Linked DNA regions of Pelodiscus sinensis. The protein of the gene in region 3 interacts with the protein of the main gene of each other region in a pairwise test. Links are inferred from orthologs where the notes say so. Each region holds a gene or a part of one and is shown on either strand. Other genes may lie near its edges.

What was found.
Region 1: the proteins of AKAP7 (region 3) and CEP76 interact in a two-hybrid assay, tested with the Homo sapiens proteins (3 studies listed by BioGRID). The two-hybrid records come from large-scale screens. The link is inferred for Pelodiscus sinensis from reciprocal best matches to the Homo sapiens genes AKAP7 and CEP76.
Region 2: the proteins of AKAP7 (region 3) and SPA17 interact in a two-hybrid assay, tested with the Homo sapiens proteins (3 studies listed by BioGRID and IntAct). The two-hybrid records come from large-scale screens. The link is inferred for Pelodiscus sinensis from reciprocal best matches to the Homo sapiens genes AKAP7 and SPA17.

What each region holds. Positions count from the first base shown.
Region 1 is NC_134712.1:87,531,103-87,538,507, forward strand, and holds the start of CEP76 (centrosomal protein of 76 kDa), read right to left. Parts: upstream 3,088-7,405; 5' UTR 3,022-3,087; coding exon 2,959-3,021; intron 1-2,958. Other genes in the region: PSMG2 (proteasome assembly chaperone 2), read left to right, coding at 3,410-3,469, 4,689-4,860. UniProt on the Homo sapiens protein: Centrosomal protein involved in regulation of centriole duplication. Required to limit centriole duplication to once per cell cycle by preventing centriole reduplication.
Region 2 is NC_134736.1:12,369,889-12,377,321, reverse strand, and holds the start of SPA17 (sperm surface protein Sp17), read left to right. Parts: upstream 1-4,372; 5' UTR 4,373-4,513; intron 4,514-5,438; 5' UTR 5,439-5,453; coding exon 5,454-5,607; intron 5,608-7,225; exon of another isoform or gene 7,226-7,278; coding exon of another isoform or gene 7,279-7,354; intron 7,355-7,433. UniProt on the Homo sapiens protein: Sperm surface zona pellucida binding protein. Helps to bind spermatozoa to the zona pellucida with high affinity. Might function in binding zona pellucida and carbohydrates.
Region 3 is NC_134713.1:93,356,317-93,364,046, reverse strand, and holds the start of AKAP7 (A-kinase anchoring protein 7), read right to left. Parts: upstream 3,021-7,730; 5' UTR 2,875-3,020; coding exon 2,637-2,874; intron 1-2,636. UniProt on the Homo sapiens protein: Probably targets cAMP-dependent protein kinase (PKA) to the cellular membrane or cytoskeletal structures.

The DNA.
Region 1 (7,405 bases), on a different chromosome or scaffold from region 3:
GGAGCTGCTCTGTCCGGGTATCCGCAGTCCCCCGCCCATCCCTCACCATAATCCATTAACAACTGGTTAAACATTTTTAACCTGTTAACTAATTAAATGGGATTTTACATTCCTATTGTATACCAGTGATAATTAGAGATGAAAGCTTCTAGTTGCGTAGCTGACTACCTGATAAGCACAGGCTTATCAGGTAGTTGAGTGACTACTTAACTAGTCTCCCTCTGCTGTCTCTGTATCAGAGGCAGCAAGGGGGGGAAGCAGGAGCCAGTGCTGGGGGGAGTCGGCTTAAAAGCCAGTTCCCCTCAGCACCATCTACACAGTGCGGGGGTGGAAGCAGGGAAGGCTGAGCTGTAGTGGTCCCGGTGGCACCATGAGATGGGACTGTTCAGTCCCGGCTAGCACTGCCCCCGGGAGCCAACCCCACTGCAGGATCGCTCCGACCCCCTTATTGACTGATATTTAACATCCCTAGTGAGAATCTGGTCACATCATCCCATAAATTCATCCTTGCAAACAATATTGAACAATCACCTCCAAATATGCGAGACATGTCAAAACTTGGTGACTGAAACCGAACGCTTTGACAACACTTGTCTCTGCCTTCCACATGAACACACAAGAAACCAAATGCCACTGAAAGTGGACTTTTGAGATCTGCCTATACTACATGACTACAACCCATGGCATTAAACTCAACTGGATGCTGAACTATTGCCAACATCTTGATAATATCACAAAGAAGATAAAGAAGAAGGTTAACATCATCCAGAAGCTCATTAGCACATTGTGGAGATGTGATGAATGCATGCTTCGAACATCACTATATGCTCTTGTCTTGGCATCAGCAAAAATGTGCCAGTCTGGTGCAAAGCTTCAGTGGGTAGGCACTGAACTCAACATCATGCTCAGCCTTGTTGGTGATTCTCTGAAATCAACCCCAACCAATATGTGGGTCTCTCAATTTTGGTAGGCATAGTTCCAGCCACGGTCAGGTTATGCTAGATACTGCTTGTGGCCAGGAGTACAATTTCTTGGCCACTCTGGACTAATCCCCTGTAGGCAGGGTTTGAATCAATGCTTCCATTACAGCCAGCTGGAATGGGAAAGAAATCCTGGGTGTGGTTAGGTAAAAATAGTTCGCTCAGTTTGCTTAGACCTACTAGATATTCAACAGTTAGAATGGTGTTTTGCCCATTGTTGTGGAGCCACAAACTCTGTTGACCCTAAATGCAGGAATTGTAAGATATGACCACCAATGCTTGCAGTTATTGGGGGAATGCAGAAAAGTCATACTGTGTTTCACTCAGTTTAAAGGAGAGAGACTATCAGTGTAAAGAATAAGGCTTTCTCTGCCAAAACTCTGGAAAGTCAACTGGGAGGAGGGCAGAACTCTGAATCAGCAGGCTGCATGCACTCCAGGCGTGAGCTGTAAGACTGGTTCAACCTGTTTTGTCCCCCTCCTCCCCAAATCCGGTCTAATGTAAGAAGTAGAACAGAGTCCATAAAGTCAAGTATCAGAGGGGTAGCCGTGTTAGTCTGAATCTGCAAAAGCGACGAGGAGTCCTGTGGCACCTTATAGACTAACTGAAGTGTAGGAGCATAAGCTTTCGTGGGCAAAGACCCACTTCGTCAGATGCATGCATCTGACGAAGTGGGTCTTTGCCCACGAAAGCTTATGCTCCTACACTTCAGTTAGTCTATAAGGTGCCACAGGACTCCTCGTCGCTTTTGCAGAGTCCATAAAGAGTCTCTTTTTGATTTTAAAATGTATTCCAGCGGATGCTGGAATTTTTTGGCTAGACTGTGCTTTTGGCCAAGCGTTAAAATCACTGAGCAGCTGAAATCACAAAGGTTTGGCCCAAAGCCAAATCTACCACAAGGCTGTTGGAGGGAGCGGCCAGCAGGTAACTGGTGGAGCGGCTGGCAGGAGCAGGAAGTGAGCGGCATTGCCACATCCTCAAGGAGGGGAGACAACATGATGATGTACCTATAAGCTCTGGGTCTGCATTGACTGGACAGAGCCATGAGCAGGGTGTTTGAAGTGGGGGGAAAGCACACTATATGAGTTGGAGGGTAGATTAAAGATCTCGGGACCGTATCTTGCTTCTGGGTTTTGTTTGTGTGTGTTTCTGTGGATTAATGTTACATTGCTGTCATTAAATAGACTGTTTCTGTCTCCGACCCAGTGCTTGAGAGAGAAGAATTACCTTTAAAGGCACCCAGTGGGTAGGTTTACTGGCTTGAGCCAGTGTGGGTACATTGTTGAAAGAACTCCCTAGATACTGAACTGGCCCTTCTGACTGCCAAGTGCTACCTACAGAAGGGTTACACCACCTCAGTTCACTCCCTCTCTCCGCACTGAGAGCCAAGGTTTCCACAGGACTATCACACAGGCCAATGGAAAAGCTGCCAGCACTCATTGGCACAAGTCATGGATGGCTTGCGATGTCCCAATCAAAGACTCAAAGGTAGAGATAATGAAAAATCCAACCCTCTGTCTTCCCCACAGGCAGCAGCCAGCACTGCCTGGACAAGTGTGTGCGCTGTAAAGATTCAAAGGCCGGCCAGCTGGTTAGCAGAGCCCCCCTCAGCCAGCGGGATGTGTGGCGAGCGGTGGTGCGCAGCCGCACTTGCCTCGGGGCACATACAACTGATGGGGCGGGTGGGAGAAGTGGCGGGACCCTTGGCGGGTAACTCGCGCCGACAGGGAAAAGGCAGAGAACGCCCGAGCTGCGGGGATACGAGCCCCGGGACGCAGCTGCCCCCATTGTGCCTGCAGGCTGGGGGGGGGGAGGGGGGGGGCACTATAACGTCGGTCCGAGCGCCTCAGCCCCGCTGCTTCTCACACGAGCGGCGCGAGCAGACACCAGCCCGCCCCCCACAGTGAAGCCGGCACGAGCCCTCCGCGCGCAGGGTAAAGCCCCGGCCGAGCCGGCGCGCGCACTTCCTGCCCCTCACCCTGGCCAGCTGCTGGCGGATGATCTGCTTCAGCTCCGAAGCTTTCTCCGGAGGCAGCGCCATGGCGAACCCCCAACACCCAGAGCCGGTGCCCCCTCCCCCCAGCCCCGCCCACTGCGCTCCGCAACCGCGCGCTCCGCCCCAACCGCTTTTCGAACAAGCGTCCCGCCAGAGCGCGAGGGCGCCCTGCTCAGACGCCTGATTGGAAGCCCGGACCCTCCTCCAGCCCGGGGCCGAGAAACGGGCCGGCCGCCCCCCCTGTCAGGGGCTCCAGTTACGCATCAGAGGACGTCCTGCCGAGGAGCCCTACGGGGACAGGCGGTTACAGAGGACGCCTAACTCCCCCCTCACACATCAGCCCCCGCTTAGGCGTCAGGCAAATGCGCCGCAGAGCGGAAGGACCCTGGCGGAGGCGAGTCGCGCGCACCCAGCGCTGAACGCTCCCGGCGCGATGTTTGTGCCCTGCGGTGGCTCCGCGCCCGCCAGCTTTGAAGGCTTCACGCTCCTGCTGGTAACGCCGCGCGCGGCCCTGGGGGGGGAACCGTCGCCCCCGTCGGGGCCTGAGGGCGCAGCGGGGCGGGATGCGCGTCCCTGCGGAAGCGCTGGGTGGGTGAGCGGCGGGGGGCAGAGAACCAGCCCCCCCTCCCCCTCCCCGAGCTGGGAAATAGAAACGTGTCTCCGCTGCTGTTACTTGCCGGGGCTTTGTCGTAGCCTGGACCTGGGGGGGGGGGTCGCTTGTCTAACCCGCCCCCGCAAGAGGGGATGCGAGTAACGGCAAGCGCTGTGTGGATGTTGGGAAGCTGGTGGTAGAGGCAGCACATTCAAACTAGGGATGTGAACGACTAGTCGACTATCCGGTAAGCAAATCCAACTAGTTGCTCCCCCCACCCCCTTGCTACCTCTATCAGATAGAGGCAACAACAGGGGGAGAAGAGAGGGGTAGTTTGAAGCAGTGGAGCCGCATGGACCCTGTGGCACTGTCACTTTGAAAGGCTGTGGTGGTATCACAAAGCGGCAGCACCATACTGAGCCCAGCATCACTTGGGAAGTTGACCCTGGGCTCCACCAACTTTGAAATGTACAAGAGTCCCCAGCGGGAAGTGCCTGCTTGGAGCCCAGAGTCAGTGAAACTTCCCGCTGGCCCTGGGCTCCATGCGGTGGTCCAACTTTTTCAAAGGCGGAATGCTGAAGTGCCAAGTTGAGTAGTCAATGGAGAATTCATCGACTACTTGACTAGTAAATTAATTGCTAGTTGACATCCCTAGTTCAAATGCCCATCCTTGAGCGCACCCAGGTCAAAGACAGTGGTAGCTGAGTTTGGTGCAGTCTCCTTGATTAAGTTTTCAACTAATCTAACAAAAACTATTGTTTTCCCATTACACAACTAAATGTTCATAGTTTGCTATCTTAAGCCTAATCTTTATGGGTAGTAGAGGCTGTATGTTGATTTTTTTTTTCAATAGTGCACATCTTATTATTCAGTGCTGGTCTGTTAGTACAGGAACAATCTGTTAAAAAGCCAGTACCTTCCATAAAGGGAAGTTTTAGGTTTTCTGACCCCACTTTTAAAATATTGGGTAAGAGGATTGTGATTTGAGCATATACCTACAGATATTTTGTGGAGTTTTCATTTATTAATTTGAATATTATACATAGTTCATTATTCAAATCACAGTTGAATGTATAAAAACTGTAATAACAATATGGTCACAAGTCTTCTGTTGTTCCAGCCAGCTGTATCCGTTGGGAATGTTGGCCAGCTTGCAGTAGATCTACTTATTTCTACCTTTGACATGCCTAAAGTTGGTTACTTCTACACTGATTGCCTGGTGCCAATGGTTGGGAATAATCCATATGCAACAACAGAAGTAAACTCAACAGAGTTGAGTATAAATGCTGAAGGTGTGTTCCAAAGTTATGTCTCAAATATTGAAGTGTGCCCCAATCCTACAATGAGCTTTATACAGAGACCTCCCAGTAAGAATGGAGTCTATAGGGGATGGTGGAAGTAAACCCATCTGCATGGTGCCACCAATTTAATGGCCATGAAATACATCATTGACAGTGAAATCTGGTTTTGTGTGTGCTCCCCCCCCTCCCCCCCGATATTATATAGATTTCACAGGGGAGAACACATCTCACGTTGGGGCCCTGACTCAAAAGGGAATCGTCTGTCAGGGCTACAAGGTCATTTTAAGGATGCAGCAATCTTGCTGTTCTTAACATAACATAAGAACGGCCGTACTGGGTCAGACCAAAGGTCCATCTAGCCCAGTATCCTGTCTACCGACAGTGGCCAGCACCAGGTGCCCCAGAGAGGGTGGACCGAAGACAATGATCAAGCGATTTGTCTCCTGCCATCCCTCTCCAGCCTCTGACAAACTGAGGCCAAAGACACCATTTTATCCCCTGGCTAATAGCCTTTTATGGACCTAACCTCCATGAAATTATCTAGCTTCTCTTTAAACTCTATTATAGTCCTAGCCTTCACAGCCTCCTCTGGCAAGGAGTTCCACAGGTTGACTACACGCTGTGTGAAGAAGAACTTTCTTTTATTAGTTTTAAACTTGCTACCCTTTAATTTCATTTGGTGTCCTCTAGTTCTTCTATTATGGGAACTAATAAATAACTTTTCTTTATCAGCCGTCTCCACACCACTCATGATTTTATAGACCTCTATCATATCCCCCCTCAGTCTCCTCTTTTCTAAACTGAAAAGTCCCAGTCTCTTTAGCCTCTCCTCATATGGGACCTGTTCCAAACCCCTAATCATTTTAGTTGCCCTTTTTTGAACCCTTTCTAAGGCCAAAATATCTTTTTTGAGGTGAGGAGACCACATCTGTACACAGTATTCAAGATGTGGGCGTACCATAGTTTTATACAGGGGCAGTAAGATATTCTGGGTCTTATTTTCTATCCCTTTCCTAATAATTCCTAGCATCCTATTTGCCTTTTTGACCACCGCTGCACTCTGTGTGGAAGTTTTCAGGGAACTGTCCACGATAACTCTAAGATCTCTTTCCTGATTTGCCGTAGCCAAATTAGCCCCCATCATACTGTACGTACAGTTGGGGTTATTTTTCCCGATGTGCATTACTTTACACTTATCCACATTAAATTTCATTTGCCATTTTGTTACCCAATCACTCAGTTTGGTGAGATCTTCTTGGAGTCCCTCACAGTCTGCTTCTGTCTTGACTATCCTAAACAGTTTGGTATCATCTGCAAACTTTACTACCTCACTGCTTACCCCTTTCTCCAGATCATTTATGAATAATTTGAAAAGGATTGGTCCCAGGACTGACCCTTGGGGTACACCACTAGTTACCCCTCTCCAATCTGAAAATTTACCATTTATTCCTACCCTTTGTTTCCTGTCTTTTAACCAGTTCTCAATCCAAGAAAGGACCTTCCCTCTTATCCCATGGCCATATAATTTACCCAAGAGCCTTTGGTGAGGGATCTTGTCAAAGGCTTTCTGAAAATCCAAGTATACTATATCTACTGGATCCCCCTTGTCCGCATGTTTTGTTAACTCCTTCAAAGAACTCTAATAGATTAGTAAAATTAATCTTAGTTAAGATTAAGATTAGTAAGAACTCTAATAGATTTCTTACTTTTGTGCTGTCTTCAGAGCTGGGCAGCAGCTAGAGACCAATAGCTGTTGGCCAGGCATCCAGCTCTAAAGATAGCACCCTACCAGCCGCAGTGCAAAAGTAAGGGTGGCAATACCATATTTTACCACCCTTACTTCAGTGCTGCTGCCTTCAGAGCAGGTGGCCAGAGTGTGGTAGCTGCTGACTGAGGGCTCAACTTTTTAGGCAACAGCACAGAAATATGGGTGGCCATGCCATCCCTGCTTCTGCAGTGCTGCTGGTGGTGGCTCTGCCTTCAGATCTTGGATCCCAGCAGTCACAGTTCAGCCACAGGTAAGGGTAGCAGTACTGTCACTTCCCCTACAATAACCTTGCTGGGGCACTCCCCTCTCCCACACAACTCCTTTTTTGGATCACAACTCTAACAATTACAATACCATGAAATTTCAGATTTAAATAGCTAAAATTATGAAACTTATGATTTTAAAATGCCCATAGCAATGAAATTGAGCAAAATGGACTGTGAATTTGTTAGGACCCTACCCATGTGATGTACATGTAGGATTGGGGCTATAGTTGCCTTCTAAAACCACCTTGTGCTGAAACAGGAAACTGCATTGTTGAAATATAGCATATGCCTTTTTATTTAGCTAAATTGCTGTTCTAGTCTGAAACTTTCCAGACCAAAATTGCCACACTTCCATTGTTAATTCAAGAAAGCCACTTAAATGCAGGGTTGTAACAAGAATTATGACTTATCACTAGGGCTGCAGGTTTATCATAGGGGGCACCAGTGCTTATCTAAAACAAGACATTAATCTGTGATAATTCTAAGGAAGTTAGCCTTGACA
Region 2 (7,433 bases), on a different chromosome or scaffold from region 3:
ACAAGGCATTCTGGGCGACTGAGCAATGGAGCCAAGAATAAATTCCCAGGGCAACTCCAGGCAGCTCACCCAGCCCCCCACTGCGGTAGGATCGGCTCTGCACTCCTGGCGCGTCTCCACGGCTTGATCTGAGCCGGTCCAGTCATCCCCCGGCTGGTCCCTTGCCTCCAGCTGACACAGCACCGCCGTGGGGCCCGGTTCTCATTCTGTAGCAATTACTCCCTGAGCAGCCCCAGCACTCGCTCCTGATCTGCTGGGCAGAACTGAGCTCAGGGCGACTGGCCCCACAGGCACGGAGAGGAGCAGCGGCCCCGGGCACGAGGGCGGAAGGAAAATGGTTCATTTCCAAGTGAGCACTGTGTCTGGCTCATTCTTTACGGGTGCGTCTGGTCCCGGCGCCAGTGAGGGGAGCCGGGCTGGGTGAGTGTGCGTGCTGGTGATTTGCACCTTGCTCTGCCAACTCATACTGGCCCTGCCAGCATGGCCCTGCCATGAAGGGGGTGGGAGGAGAACCCCAGCAGCCCTGGGACACTCAGTTGGGTCAGAGGGGCCGGGTAAACACCAGAGGTGGCCAGTCCCCCAGGGAGAGGGCTGGTCTCCGAGCCTGGACTGGGGAAGAGGGGTTCCTGGGGCCGGGCGATAGCTCTAAGAGCAGGCTACTCAATCCCTTGGAGCCAGGGGGTTCCAGCAGGCGCGCTGGAGGCAGAGTGGGGGCTGGCGTTCACTGCATGAGCAGGCAGCAGTTCTGCCGCCCTCCCTTGGCACTCACGTATGTTGAAGCAAGAGAGTAAAGCGGCATTTCTGCCCAGAGGCTGGGGCCAGTGCTAGGCAGGGAGGAGACAGCACGGGGCGGGAGACATGCTACTTGTAGCTAGCCTTGGGGGCAGTTCTTAAAGCCACCGGCTCCTGGCTGAGGAGGGTCCGGTGGGACACGGGAGCTCTGGATCCAGTGCCTGGCACAGACGGCCTGAGGGACTGTGGAGGCCCCCGGCAGCTCAACTCCCATCTCTGCACTGGAGCTGCCCATGCTGGGTGCTGAGCAGTGGAGAAGCTCCGTGCTCCAGGCCTCCCTCTGTAAGTACTTTCTTCCCCCCAGGTCTGCTTCTCTGCCCCTTGGGACGGGCTGTCCTCTTGTGGATGCATCTAGTGGCTGCGTCACGGCTGGGGCCTCCCCCGCACTGCTATGCAAATCCCTACACTCCCTCGCACCAAGTCAGGGAGATGGTGTCCCCAAGGGCCCAGCAGGCAGCACAGAGCCCAGCGGGTGCAAAAGCATCATCAGCTCCAACTCTGGCCCAGTGCTGGTGGTGTCAGTAATGGGAGTCGCCCTGGACAAGGGCACAGACTGTATTTCCTGCCGGCGCTGGCCTCAGTCCTTACACAGACAGGCTGGCCCAGCCCTTAATCAAACCTGCAGCCAAGAAGCCCTCCTGGCAGAGGGGCTCTGAATGGCCCTATAACTTGGCTTAGCTCAAAAGAACCAGAAGCGGTGTAAATAACGCGGAACGCCTCGTCCGTGATGTTAACACGGGTCTGCTCCAGAGCTTAGGCCGGCACTGGGGGCCCTGGGCATTTACAGTCAAATCTGCCCATGCAGAGACAAAAATATTCTCTGCTTGGTAGCACCTGGAATATCCAATTCCCCTGAACTGTAATGTATCCAAAGCCCGCAGGTGCCTTTGGGAGTCTCCGCCTAACGTGACAAGGTGAAGTGTTTATTGGCTGGAAAGAGCCATGAGCCCCTTGTGAAATCTGGCTATTGTAGGGGCTCGCAGAGTTGCACGTCTGACTGTGGCATTGCATTCAGAGCTGGGCAGCCAAAGAGGAGAGCAGCGGCTGCTGGCTGGACTCCCAGCTCAGAAGGTAGCACTGTCACCAGCAGCAGCCCGGAAGTAAGCAGGGCAGTATTGTGTTTCCACTATTGTAGCCTTGGGGCTTTTTTCCGGAAAAGCACGTCTAGATTGGCATGGACGCTTTTCCGCAAAAACTGCTTTTGCGGAAAAGTGTCCGTGCCAATCTAGACACTCTGTTCCGAAAATGCTTTTAACGGAAAACTTTTCTGTTAAAAGCATTTCTGAAAAATCATGCCAGTCTAGACGTAGCCCATGGGACTGCCGGGTTCAAGCGAAGGGCCGGGTAGCTATCCCACAGTAACCAATTCTCTGGCTCTCCTCTGGAGTGCTGTTCTGCCTCCACGGGCCATAGGCATAAGGAAACTTTCCGGGTCTGTCTGAATGCTCTGAAATATGAACCAAAGCAGCCTGACTTGATAGCAGCAAGCTCAGTCCCCGAATGGCATCAAGCCAGCCACGCCAACTTATTATTGATTTAAATGGGCTTAGTAGTAAATGAAATGGGACATTTCATGTTATGGTGTTTTAACGGGGCCAGTTTTACACAGCTGAAAACAACTATGAGCTGACACTAGGAGGAAGAATAATTAGAAAAATATGTGGAATAATGTGGAATAATTCAAGTACATTTTACCAAGTGCCCAAGAAGCTGCAATCCCACGAATGAGAACAAAAGCTATGGCCCATTAAAAAACTAAACTGGTTTAGAGGGGAAGTGAAGACATCTATAAAAACTTTTATGTATAAATGGAAGAAAGTGTCACACTTTAAATAATCATATATATATAGTAGCCCAATGTCTGTGACTCTAGTGCTGAAATGCTGGCTGTTCCCTCTGGGCGGCACTGCTGCCTCCCACTGTGGCGCTCAGCTGACTTTTGCGCTGCTCAGCTGGGCCGCCGTGCAGGAGCAAGCGGTCATTTGGGGTCCGCGCTCCCCATGCAACACGGGGGTGCTTCATGGAGAGTGCGGGGCCCAAACGGCCGCTTGCACTGCTTGCTCCCACGGGGCGGCGCGCCTGAGCGGCGCAGAAGTCAGCTGAGCACCACGGTGGCTGGCAAAGGGGGACTGGGCGGTGACGTACACACCCATGGGGCCTGGACAAGCGTGCATCCCCGACAGAGACAGAGGAGCGGAGAGAGAGTGAAAGGCAGGAGGCGGAGAAGAGAAAGAGAGAGACAGAAGGCAGAGGAGAGCTGAGAGGGGGGGGGAGGCAGTAGGAGGAGGCGGAGAGAGAGAGAAAGATACACAGAGCGAGAGACCAGAGGCTCAGGAGAGAAGACCAACATGGAGGAGAGACCTGAAAATCCCATCTTATGACAGGCTAATTGGCTAGTATCTGAAGATACACCTATCTCATAGAGCTGGAAGGGACCTTGAGAGGTCACTGAATCCAGTCCCCTGCCCTCATGGCAGGGCCAAGTACCATCCCTGACAGATTTGCCCCAGATCCCTAAGTGGCCCCCTCAAGGATTGAGCTCATAAGGCTGGGTTTAGCAGGCCAATGCACAAACCACTGAGTTATCCCTCCCCTCTAAGTTGATGTTGATCATTAATATAAATCAGAAATTAGGAACTGTAGACAATTGATAAGGGAAGCAAATGGACATAAGGAGACATCTATGACCAGAAGAATTAAAGACAAAAGGAAGGCATTTTTCATACATATTAGGACAAAAAAAATCTGATAATGGTATTGGTTCATTATTAGATGGAAATGGTAGAATTATCAATATCAGTGCAGGAAAGACAGAAGTGTTCAGTAAATATTTCCTTTCTGATATAATCTCATCCTATGGTGATGATAACTTGTTCCATTTCACCAATATGTAAAACAGAATCTACCAAAATTAAACATTTTAAAATCAGCAGGAGCAGATAACCCACAACCAAAAGTTTTAAAAGAGCTGGCTGAGGCACTCAATAGACCATTAATTATTATTTTAAACAAGTCTTGGAGCACTGGGAAAGTTCCAGAAGACTGGGAGAAAGTTAATGTTGTGCCAATTTTTTAAAAAGGGGTAAACAGGCTGACTAAATATAGACCAGTCAGCTTGATATTGATCTCAGTCAAGCTAATGGAGTGGATGATAGGACCCATTAGGAAACTAAAAGGTAAGTCATAAATGCAAATCAAAATGGGTTTAAGGAAAATAGATGGGTCAAAGGAATTTGATAAGGGTACTAGCTTTGATGAAATGCCCTGAGAGGCCTATAAAGCATTTGAGCTGGTACAACCCAACATTTGGAAGTAAACAGTGGAGTGGCATAAAACAAGGGGGCCCCTGGCTCAGGGCCAGGTCCGAACGGGTCGGCCGGCACGCAGGCGGTTTGCTGGGTCTGGCTCCGGGTCCCGTCTTTGTGCCAAGGAGCTGGGTGTCCCGTGCAATCGACGGGTGCTCACAGGTGCTACGCAGAGGGGTGGGCAGGGGAGGAAGAGGGTCCCTGGTTTGGGGGCGGGGCTGGAGGCGGGCCCTCAGGGCCAGGCTCTTCTGTGCCAATGGCCTGGGCAGGGGCGGGGCCTAGCGGGAGATGGGCGGGGCCAAGGTTTGGCTTCGCGTTTGTCCCTCCCCAGCCACCAGCCCCAGCTGGTGGGGGGCGGGGTCTTGTTGCCAGGCAACGGAAGCGTCCGAGAAACTGCGGAGAGCAGCGGCTGAGGGGTAGGGGGGGGCGATCGCTGCCCGCGGGGGGGGGCGGGGGGGGTGTTCGCTGCCCGCGGAGGGGGGCGGGGGGGTGATCGCTGCCCGCGGGGGGGGCGGGGGGGCGATCGCTGCCCGCGGGGGGGGTCGGGGGGGGGTGATCGCTGCCCGCGGGGGGGGGTGGGGGGGCGATCGCTGCCTGCGGGGGGGGTGCGGGGGTGTGATCGCTGCCTGCGGGGGGGGGCGGGGGGGTGTTCGCTGCCCGCGGGGGGGGGCGGGGGGGTGATCGCTGCCCGCAGGGCGGAGGGGCGGGGGGGTGATCGCTGCCTGCGGGGGGGGGGCGGGGGGGTGATCGCTGCCTGCGGGGGGGGGCGGGGGGGGGTGATCGCTGCCCGCGGGGGGGGGCGGGGGGGTGTTCGCTGCCCACGGGGGGGGGTGGGGGGCGATCGCTGCCTGCGGAGGGGGGCGGGGGGGTGATCGCTGCCTGCGGAGGGGGGCGGGGGGGTGATCGCTGCCCGCAGGGCGGAGGGGCGGGGGGGGTGATCGCTGCCCGCGGGGGGGGGGGCGGGGGGGTGTTCGCTGCCCACGGGGGGGGGTGGGGGGCGATCGCTGCCTGCGGAGGGGGGCGGGGGGGTGATCGCTGCCCGCGGGGCGGAGGGGCGGGGGGGTGATCGCTGCCCGCGGGGGGGGGGGGGGGGGGGCGATCGCTGCTTGCGGAGGGGGGGCGGGGGGGTGATCGCTGCCCGCGGGGGGGGGGGGTGGGGGGCGATCGCTGCCTGCGGAGGGGGGGCGGGGGGGTGATCGCTGCCCGCGGGGGGGGGGGGGGGGCGATCGCTGCTTGCGGAGGGGGGGCGGGGGGGTGATCGCTGCCCGCGGGGGGGTGGGGGGCGATCGCTGCCCGCGGGCCCGGCCGGTCTCACAGCCCTGCCCCCCGCTCCCCCCGCAGGTGCCGGGCCGCGCCATGTCCATCCCCTTCTCCAACACCCAGCAGCGCATCCCGTGCGGCTTCGCCAACCTGCTGGAGGGGCTGGCCCGGGAGGTGCTGCGGGAGCAGCCTGCGGACATCCCCGCCTTCGCCGCCCAGCACTTCGAGAAGCTGCTGGACAAGCGGGACAGTGAGTGGCGGGCGGAGCCGGGAGCCCTGAGCTCTGCTCCCGCTGGGTGACCCAGGCGCCCGCCTCCAGCATCCCCACCTGCCCAGCTCTGCCACGGGCGGTGCAGCGAGCCCTGGATCCGCGCTCAGGTCTGGGGTGGCTTGTCCCCCTGGAAGGGCTCTCACTGAGCCCAGGGTTACTGCACAAATGCCCGTGGCTGCTTCCTGGGGTCCCCCGGGGCTCTGGTCTCCCTGTGCCCCATTTCCTTTATCGCCTTTGCCCACGAAAGCTCCTTGTGGGTCCCCCCTGGCCTGCCAGCTGATGCTCTGTCCCAGAGGGAAGGGGCAGGCAGGAGGAGGTTCCTGGGGCTGGTTGGTTCTGGCAGGCTCCAGGCTACTCCTCTCACTTTGACTTCCACCCTATGCTTTGAATGGCTCCTGTGGGTGATGGGGGCCACCCCTCAGGGCTGTAGGAGAACCCCACTAACCTGGGGTGAGGGTCAGCCACTGGGCCTGAGGGTAACTGGCTTACTGCTCCAGGGCAAGCGGTTTCTGGACACGTGAGTCCCTCTAGGATCTGCAGTGGGGCCATTTTCTTGGGTCATCTCCATTTCCCCATGGGAGGCAGCATGGTCACCACAGGCCCCAGTGAATTGTTCAAGCTGGTGCATGCTGTGCCGGCAGGCACGGGCCTCTGCGCACAGCCTGGCCAGCCCAGGGGGTCTCCTGCGCTGAGCTCCCTTGCTGTGCAGCTACCTATTTCACCTGCCAGGTGCTTCAGCAGGTTGGGCAGGGCAGGAACCTGCAGTGGCCAGGGGAGGGCTGATCCATCACTCCAACCATCACCTGGTCTGTACTCCAACTTGCCATAGCCAGGGCCACCTGGCCCAGCCCGACTCTGACACAGCCAGGGCAGTCCAGTCTCGGCCCTGATCCCGACACAGCCAGGGCAGTCCAGTCTCGGCCCTGATCCCGACACAGCCAGGGCAGTCCAGTCTCGGCCCTGATCCCGACACAGCCTGGGCAGCCTGGCCCTGATCTGGAGCCCGTCCATCCCATCCTTGCTGCAGCCTGGGAGGCCCAGCCCTGGAGCTGCCAAGGTGAGGAGCGGTGCTGTCCACGATGCTGCTGTGAGGCGAGAGAGCTGAGGGAGTCAGCGCTCCTTGCAGTAGAGTCCCTGGAGCACCCTCCTTCACCCCAAAGTACTCACCCCCATAGCCTGTACCACCAGATGGAGTCCTTTCTCCCTCGCAACCCCCTGTCCTAGCCTTAAGCTGCTCATCCTTAGCCGCACCCCAGAGCCCGCACCCCCCCAGCCCCAGGCCTGAGTCCCACTCCATACTCAGAACCCCTTGGCCCCCCCACCATATGAACTTTGTTATGTGCCCAATTAGCAAGTGACATGTTATCTCGCTGGTCAGAGAACAACATTGATTCCGCTCAGGGGTGGGAAAAATGAGAGAGGACGCTGTTCCCGTGTGCTTTAATTGTGGCTCTGTCCCGAGATGTTAGATGCTCCTGGGTGTGTTTGCTCCTCTGGGACTGTTCCTAGAACCACCACTGCAAGGCATTCCTTAGCTGGCAGGGCCTTGACTCTCGCCTGGGGGCTGTGCAGAAAACAGCCTTTCTTTTTCTCACAGCCACGCTGCCTCTGTTCTGAGTCTGTCAGTTTTGCTTCAGGATACTGGGCTAGATGGACCTTTGGTCTGACCCAGAATGGCCGTTCTTATGTTCTTCTTATGTTCCCTGTCATCCTGCTGCCACCCACAGTGAGTGTAATTTGACTGGGGAGCTTCCTGTCTTAATTACTCTCTTGACATTTATGTGATCAAACAAGAATGTCGGTTT
Region 3 (7,730 bases):
GGTGGCAGCTAAGCAAGGATTTTGAGGATTTAAATGTTTTTGTAGATCTAGCCCATAGTGTTTAAATTTGCCCCCTTTCTGCAGAAAAGGATGAAGATATATGTTAATGTTTAAACTCTATGTATAGTTTTTACAATTAGATACAATTGTATCTATCTCTGGCAGGCCTGGGCAAAATACAGTCCGCGGGCTGGTTCCAGCCCACCAAGCCACTGGATCTGGCCTGTGGACACTGCAGGGAGCCCCAGGCAGGCTCCCGCATGCCTTCCCCACCTGCACGCCACTCAGGAAAGCAGCTACGGAGCCATTTCTCTTTAAAACTGTGAGCTTGGAGAGGAGGGGGGGAGGCTTCATGTGCTGCCCTCGCCCCACCACAATTCCATTAGCTGGTTTCTGGGAGCTGCCTGTTTGAATAACAGGCATCACAAGAAGCACATGGGCCACCTCTGCCCCTGGGCTCATAGTTATTCACACAAGCACATGTCCCTGAAGCCTGGGTGGGGGTAGGGCAGGCTCACTGCCTTCCTGAGAAATGTGCTGGGCTGCTGGCTGGGAGTCACTCAAGTAAGTCTCCGAGCCAGAGCCTGCCTCTGGCACCCAACCCTCCCTTCCCCAACCTTCTGCCCTCCACTCCTTCCCCCCCTATTCCACATAACTAAGCCCTCTGTCCTCCTCCGGCATCCATATATGCAAAAGCGCTCAGAGGTCAAAAATCTGCTGCCCCTTATTTGTCCACTCAGCCACTTCTCTGAATTAAAGTTACTTTAAATCATCTAATGAATAGCTGTACAGTCCAGTGCCCCAGATCATAACTGCCTCCCTCATCCAAACTCCCTCCCAGACCCCACTCTCCCTCCTGCACCCCAGTCTCTTCACTAAGCTCCCTTCTGCACTTAACCTCCATCTCAGACCCCACACCTCCTCCATTAATATCATGTAAGAGTGCGACCCTTGACCATTTTCCAAAATCTTGGAGTGGCCCCAATAAAAAATTATTGCCCACCTCTGGTCTATGGTTATTGTTTATGCATTATTAACATTACAGTCAAACTGTGAAAGCTATGAATATTTTCCCTTGGCCATAAGCTAGGCAAAGGGGCTGCACTGTTGTCCTGCAAAGAGTTTACAACACTATTTTTGTAGTGTAGATAACAAAAATGTGAAGGTGTAACCACTGGGGCTGGAGCAACTCCCCTGCCTGTAATTGGCAAGGGACTGGCTCCGGCTGCCGTAGACTAGGCTGCTCCCATAGGGACACCAGAGCATCCCTTGCCTGTGCAGTGCCCTGTCCTCTTGCAGGCAAGAGTTGCTCTGGCCTGACTGGAGCAGCCCTTGCCTGTGGCAGGAACAAAGAAGGCATTCCAGCCCCTCCCTGCTCACCCCCTCTTTAATTGGTTAACAGGTTAAACAATGTTTAATCTGTTAGCCAATTAAACAGTATTTTACATCCCTAATAGATAGGATATAGCTGTGTATAACTGGTAAAGATCATCTTCCATCCTCTCAGTTGCCTGCTGGAAAAAATATACCAATGTTTATTGTCCCACATTCATGCTGCCATTATGTGCAAATGTCATCTTTGCTAAAATACTACAGGTGGGGATTTTCTTACACTGATCTGACAGCCTGGTTGCCTGAGTTAGTAAATGTTGATGCATCTAAAAGATCATACAGCGTTAAAAGCTGGCATGTGGACACAACTCTGCCTGTTGTATTCAGTTAGATGAGTCGTGCATTCACTATAACAATAAGGCTATACTTATCTATGTAGCCTTAAGGCTTGTCTACACTTAGTGGGAGATTGATGCTACTTTGATCCTACAGGGTTGATCTAGCTGCTATACTGAAGACCCTCTAAATAGACTACTGGTCACTTTCTTGTGAACGCTTCTATAAGGGAAGTTGAAGGGACACTTTTTCTCCCCATCAACCTCCCACGGTGAACTTGACCTAAGTAGGTCTACTCCAGTTATGGTATTCACACGGATTGACTTAAATAAATTAGATCAACTTTGCTCCATACTGTACGCCTGCTCTTTAATTTCTTTCTATCCTCATAGACAGGAAGGGGAGATGATGTTGCTCTACATGTCGCTCTTTCTCCCTCCTGTTTTACAGGAAGTAAGATGGTGTTGTGTTTACTAGTAGAACTCATGTGGGCTCATTCATTACTCTGCCCTAGCTCTTCCGAATGACACCACCTCCCTTAAATCTCTTGTCAGTTCACCAACCGCAAAGAAAAGGCTAAAACTGTCTTTGGCTACTGTCTATTTACAATGTGAGCTCCCAAGAGCAGAGATTGTCACTACGGCACCGACCACGGGGGCGGTGACTCTATCACGAGGACAGCACGGACAAAAGGACTTGGCTGCGCATTGACGCCGCCCTTCCCTCCGAGCGACGTGGGAAAGGGGCTCTCGTGCGGCGCAAACACACAGGCCGGGTTAAGTGGGGCTGGTTCCCCAGGCGGGCCTGGCCCGGGAAGGGGGAGCCGGGAGCGCGGCTGGGCAGGCAGGCGGCCGCTTAACGCCAGCCTGGGCCTGGGCTCAGCAGAGCTGGCCGCGAAACACGGGCCGGGACTGGGGCGGGGCAGAGCCTGGCTGCGCACGGGACCCACCCCCCGGCCGCCTGCTCACCATGCTCCAGGGACTCGCCAGCTCCGGGGGGAAGGTCCCCGCCGGCTGCCCCCGGCCCCTGCGCCGCCTCCCCGCCCTGCGCCATGGAGCGGCCCGGGCCCAGCACCCCGGCGGCCGCCGCCGCTGCCCGCCGCTCCCCCCAGCCGGGTGGCGGCGCCCTTTGTCGCGGGGCGGGGTCGGCGGCCGCTCCCCACAGCCGGGCGGGATGGAGCCGGAGGCTCGACAGCAGCCTCCGCATGACCGGAGGACGGGGGCGAAATTCGTGCCCAGCTACGGGACGGGACAGGGGCCAAACTGGGCCACCGCGCCCCGTGGGGAGCGAAGGGGCGACACCCGCGGCAGAGAGGCTGGAATGAGGCGCCCGGGGACTACAACTCCCAGCGGGCCGTGCTGTTCACGCCGAGAATGCCGCCCCCGCGCCTTGCACGCCGGGATCGGAGCCCTGGTTTGGCGGCGTGCGTGTGTCCGTGGGAGGGGCCGAGCACCGCGTTGTGCCTCAATAGGAATGGGGAGGGGGCTGGGAGATCGAGCGGAAGGAACCAACCAGCAGGATCAAGCCGGGGGGGAGCTCCATGCGCTTAGCCTCAAGCCCCTCAGCACCAGGCACGTGGGCAGAGTCTGAGCATCGCCCGTGCCAAGGCTGCTGCTGGGGGAGGCTGATGCCCGGGACTGAGGCTCGTGCACAGGCCGCCCCCCCCCCCCAGCATTTTGAGCTAAGTGGCAGGGGCCCTGCCCGGAGGAGGGCGGAGATGTGCTCTGTGGCGGGGAGCCTGCCCTGCAGTCACCCGTCCTGTCCCGCGGGGCTGGTTCAAAGTCCTGCTCCAGCTAATGAGCCCGCCCCCGCTACGGGCGCTTGGCCTGGCCACGTCTGCATTAGTAAAGACACTGTTGGCTTGCGGGCTTCCAAGGAACGGGGCTTTTCCTCTAGTTTCTCTGTGTAGGCTGTGTCAGTAACAAACTCCTGGCCTCATGCAAATAAGAAATTTTCTCGGGGGGGGGGGGGGGGGTTAGCAGTGTTTGTATCTGCAAAAGTAGTGATGAGTCCTGTGGCACATTAAAGATTAACAGATTTAGTTGACTATTAGCTTTCATGGGTCAAAACCACTTATTCAGGTACATGGCATGGAAATTGCTCCCTCTCTCTGATTTCCACTCATGCATCTGACCAAGTGGTTTTGATCTACAAACGCTTATGCTCAAATAAATGTTCTTAAGGTGCCCCAAGACTCCTTGATGTTTATGAACATTTTTGTTTGTACATTGGGCAGTTTGGAGTTTCCGCTAAACAAAATGTATTTGGAGCATAAATGTACTACCTGGAGGATCAAATGGACATTTAATGGGTTTCATAATAGTTGTAGAGGCATGCATTACATATGTAGGAGAAGTAAAACTGAATTTAACAGCTACCCTTGAATTATGTTTGGAGTTCAAACAAACCCAGGCACAAAAATACAAGGAAAGGAGCTGAGCTAAGGTATCTGGAAACAAAAAGTACATTAGGTGGAGTTAATTACAGTTCATATAACACTCCCTCAGAAGAGATGGGACCTGGTTAAGGTGGTAGGCATCCTTCTGAAGAATATGAAACAATTACTAAGATAACCAGCAGGGTTTTATAAATGCTTCTAGCCTTCAGCTCCAAGTTAAGGTATATCTACACTGAAAAATAAATTGTTGAGGCAGCATGTCTCAGAGGCCAGTTCCACTGACAGGGACTTCCTGGGGTTCTGCAAGAAGGCTAAAAATTGTAATGTTGAGGTTCCCACTTGGGCTGATGCTGAGTTTCAGAGCTTGGGCTCCAGCTCCAATAGGAACAGTTACACTGTTATTTTTAGCCTTGTAGTTCTAGCCTTGTAATTCCCAGTCAGTTGACCCAGGCTCTGAAATAAGGATTTAACTAGCAGTTAATTGACTAGTCAAGTAGTCAATAGAATTTCCATCAACTACTTGACTAGTGATAGGCACTTCCACATTCCTCCTTTGAAATGTACAAAAGCCCCTGTTGGGGCTCTTGTACATTTCAAAGGAGGAATACGGAACTCCATGTGCAGTCTGGGGGCCAGCGGGAAGTCCCACTGACTCCAGGTTGCACAGGGTGCCAGCTTTGAAATGCACAAGAGTCCCCCGCCAACTCCGGGCTCCATGCTGTGCTGCCGCTTTGAAATGCCATGTGGAACCGGGGTCATCTGGACTCCCCAACTGATCACAGGCTCCAGCATAGCATTTTCGCAGAACCTGGGGTCAGCTTGGGATTCCACAGCTGATCCCGGGTTCTGTGGAAATGTCATGCTGGAGCCTGGGATCAGCTGGGACTCTGGGCTCCTCATGCGCAGCGCCACACATCTGAGCCAGGGATCAGCTGTGTGGCAGCTGCCTCTTTGTACACTGTCTCCACATTTCAAAGCGGCAGCGCTGCACAGCTGATCCTGGGCTCTGCTGTGTGGAGCTGCCACTTTCAAGTACCCCTCTTTTTCTCCCCCTTTGCTGCCTCTCTCAGATAGAGGCGGTGAGGGGGAATAGATTAGTTGACTAGTCGACTACTCTTTAACATGCCTACTCTGAAATTTGATGTTGAGGGAGGTGTGTGTTATGTTTTATTTTTGTAATATAGATATACTCTTTATGGAACTTTCATTACCATTTTAAGTGTAGGCTGAAGCAAACCTTTTGTTATCATTTTGTTAGAATTTGTTGGGTGACCCCAAGCTGGGAACAGTAACAAGCACTTCAGAGAACAGGATTAGAATTCATGACATTTACAAATTGGTCTGAATTCATTCAGATGAAATTCAGTAAAGACAAGGGCAAACTACTTCAATTTGGAAGGAAAAATTCAAATGCACAACCACAAAATGGGGAATACATTACTGTTAGGTGGCAATATTGCTGAAAATCTGCTAGAAGTTACAGTGGGTCACAAATTGAGTTTTCATGAATATGAAGCAGTTGAAAATAATGTTGATATTATTCTGGGATAAATTAACAGAAGACCGAGGAGGTAATTGTCCCACTCTGCCAAGCACTGTTGAGGCCTCAGTGTGAGTACTCTGTCCAATTTTGTGCACCACAATTTAGGAAGGTTGTGTACAAATGAGAGAGAATCCAGAAGAAAGCAACCAAAGTGACAAAATTTTTAGAAAACCTGACCTATGAGACAAGGTTAAAAAACTCAGGATGATTAGTCTTGAGAAAAGAGGACTGAAAAGAAGCCTGAAAGTCTTCAAATATGTTAAGAGCTGTTACAAAGAGGGCCATGATCCATTGTTCTTGCTGCCCACTGAAGGTGGGATAAATAGATTTAATCTGCAGCAAAGGAGATTTATGTTACCGTATATTCCGGCGTACAAGACGACCTCTGATGTTAAAAAACATCCCCCCAAAATCGGGGGTCGTCTTGTACGCCGGATGCCCCGCCGCCGGAGCCCCTCCGCGGCTTTGAAAGCCTCGGGGGAAGCCGGCGGGGGGGCATCCCAGGCGCGCATGGGCTGCCCCCCCGCCGGAGCCCCTCCGCGGCTTTGAAAGCCTCGGGGGAAGCCGGCGGCGGGGCATCCCAGGCGCGCATGGGCTGCCCCCCCCGCCGGAGCCCCTCCGCGGCTTTGAAAGCCTCGGGGGAAGCCGGCGGCGGGGCATCCCAGGCGCGCATGGGCTGCCCCCCCGCCGGCTTCCCCCGAGGCTTTCAAAGCCGCGGAGGGGCTCCGGCGGGGGGGCAGCCCATGTGCGCCTGGGATGCCCCACCGCCGGCTTCCCCCGAGGCTTTCAAAGCCGCGGAGGGGCTCCGGCGGGGGGGCAGCCCATGCGCGCCTGGGATGCCCCGCCGCCGGCTTCCCCCGAGGCTTTCAAAGCCGCGGAGGGGCTCCGGCGGGGGCGCAGCCCATGCGCGCCTGGGATGCCCCCCCGCCGGCTTCCCCCGAGGCTTTCAAAGCCGTGGAGGGGCTCCGGCGGGGGGGGGGGGGGGGCAGCCCAGGCGCTCCTGGCGGCTTTGCTCCCGGTGCCTCTGGTCTGCTGGGGACCATCTCCAGCAGACCAGGGACACCGGGAGCAAAGGAGGCGGAGGGGCGCTGGGGTATAAGATGAAACCCTATCTTTTAATTAAAAAGATAGGGGGTCGTCTTATACACCCAGTCGCCCTATACGCCGGAAAATACGGTAGGTATTAGGGGAAAAATGTTAAGGCTATGAGTTTGTCATCGAGATGGTGGAAGTCACAGAGTCTGTGACTTACTCAGGTGGTGGAAGTCATGGAGTCAGTGACTTACAGAGATTTCTGTTATTGAATCTGTAGCACCTGAGACCATTGTGAGCATCAGGGCCCTGTGAGTTCCCAGCCGCTGTGAGAGGCAGGAGCCCTTTAGTACCCAGCTCCTCACAGCTCTGAGTTTCTGTGGGCAAAGGAGGCCCTGGGAGCTCAGCTCTTGGCCGCTGGTGGCCACTGAACCATGGGCGGGGGGGCTTCTGTGAAAGGTCATGGACAATAAAGAAACAGTCTGTGACTTTTACTAAAAATGAGTAGTAAAATCTTAGCCTTAACTATGAGGGTACTTAAGCTTTTGAAATAGGTTTCCAAAGGAGGTTATGGAATCCCCATCAGTTGAGGATTTTAAAAAGAGTTTGTACAAACACTTGTCAAGCAGAGTTCCCTCCGATATTTCCCATCCATGCGCAGAATAAATTTTATGTGCATCAAGACATATGCAAATGTGCACCACCAATAGAAACAAAAAACCTAGCTGGAGGCTCTCTGCCACTCAGCTGGGCAGTATTTGAATTTCTCCTAAGTGGCCACAGAAGCACACAGCTTACAGGGAACACTTGTCTGGGATAGTCTGAGTTTACTTAGCTTCCGAGGGGTAGCTGAGCTAGTCTTTAATTGGAAAAACTTAAAAAACAACAAATAGTCTAGGAGCACCTTAAAGACTAACAAAACATGTAGTTGGTATCATGGTAGGCAAAACCTACTTCTTCAGATTAGTCCTACATTTGCAGAGGGACTAGACGAGATGACTTCTCAAGGTTCTTTCCTGTGGCCGCGGGGCCCTGCACGGCCAGACTCGTCCCGCCCCGGGCGGACCCAGGCTGTGCGCCACTGGTGGT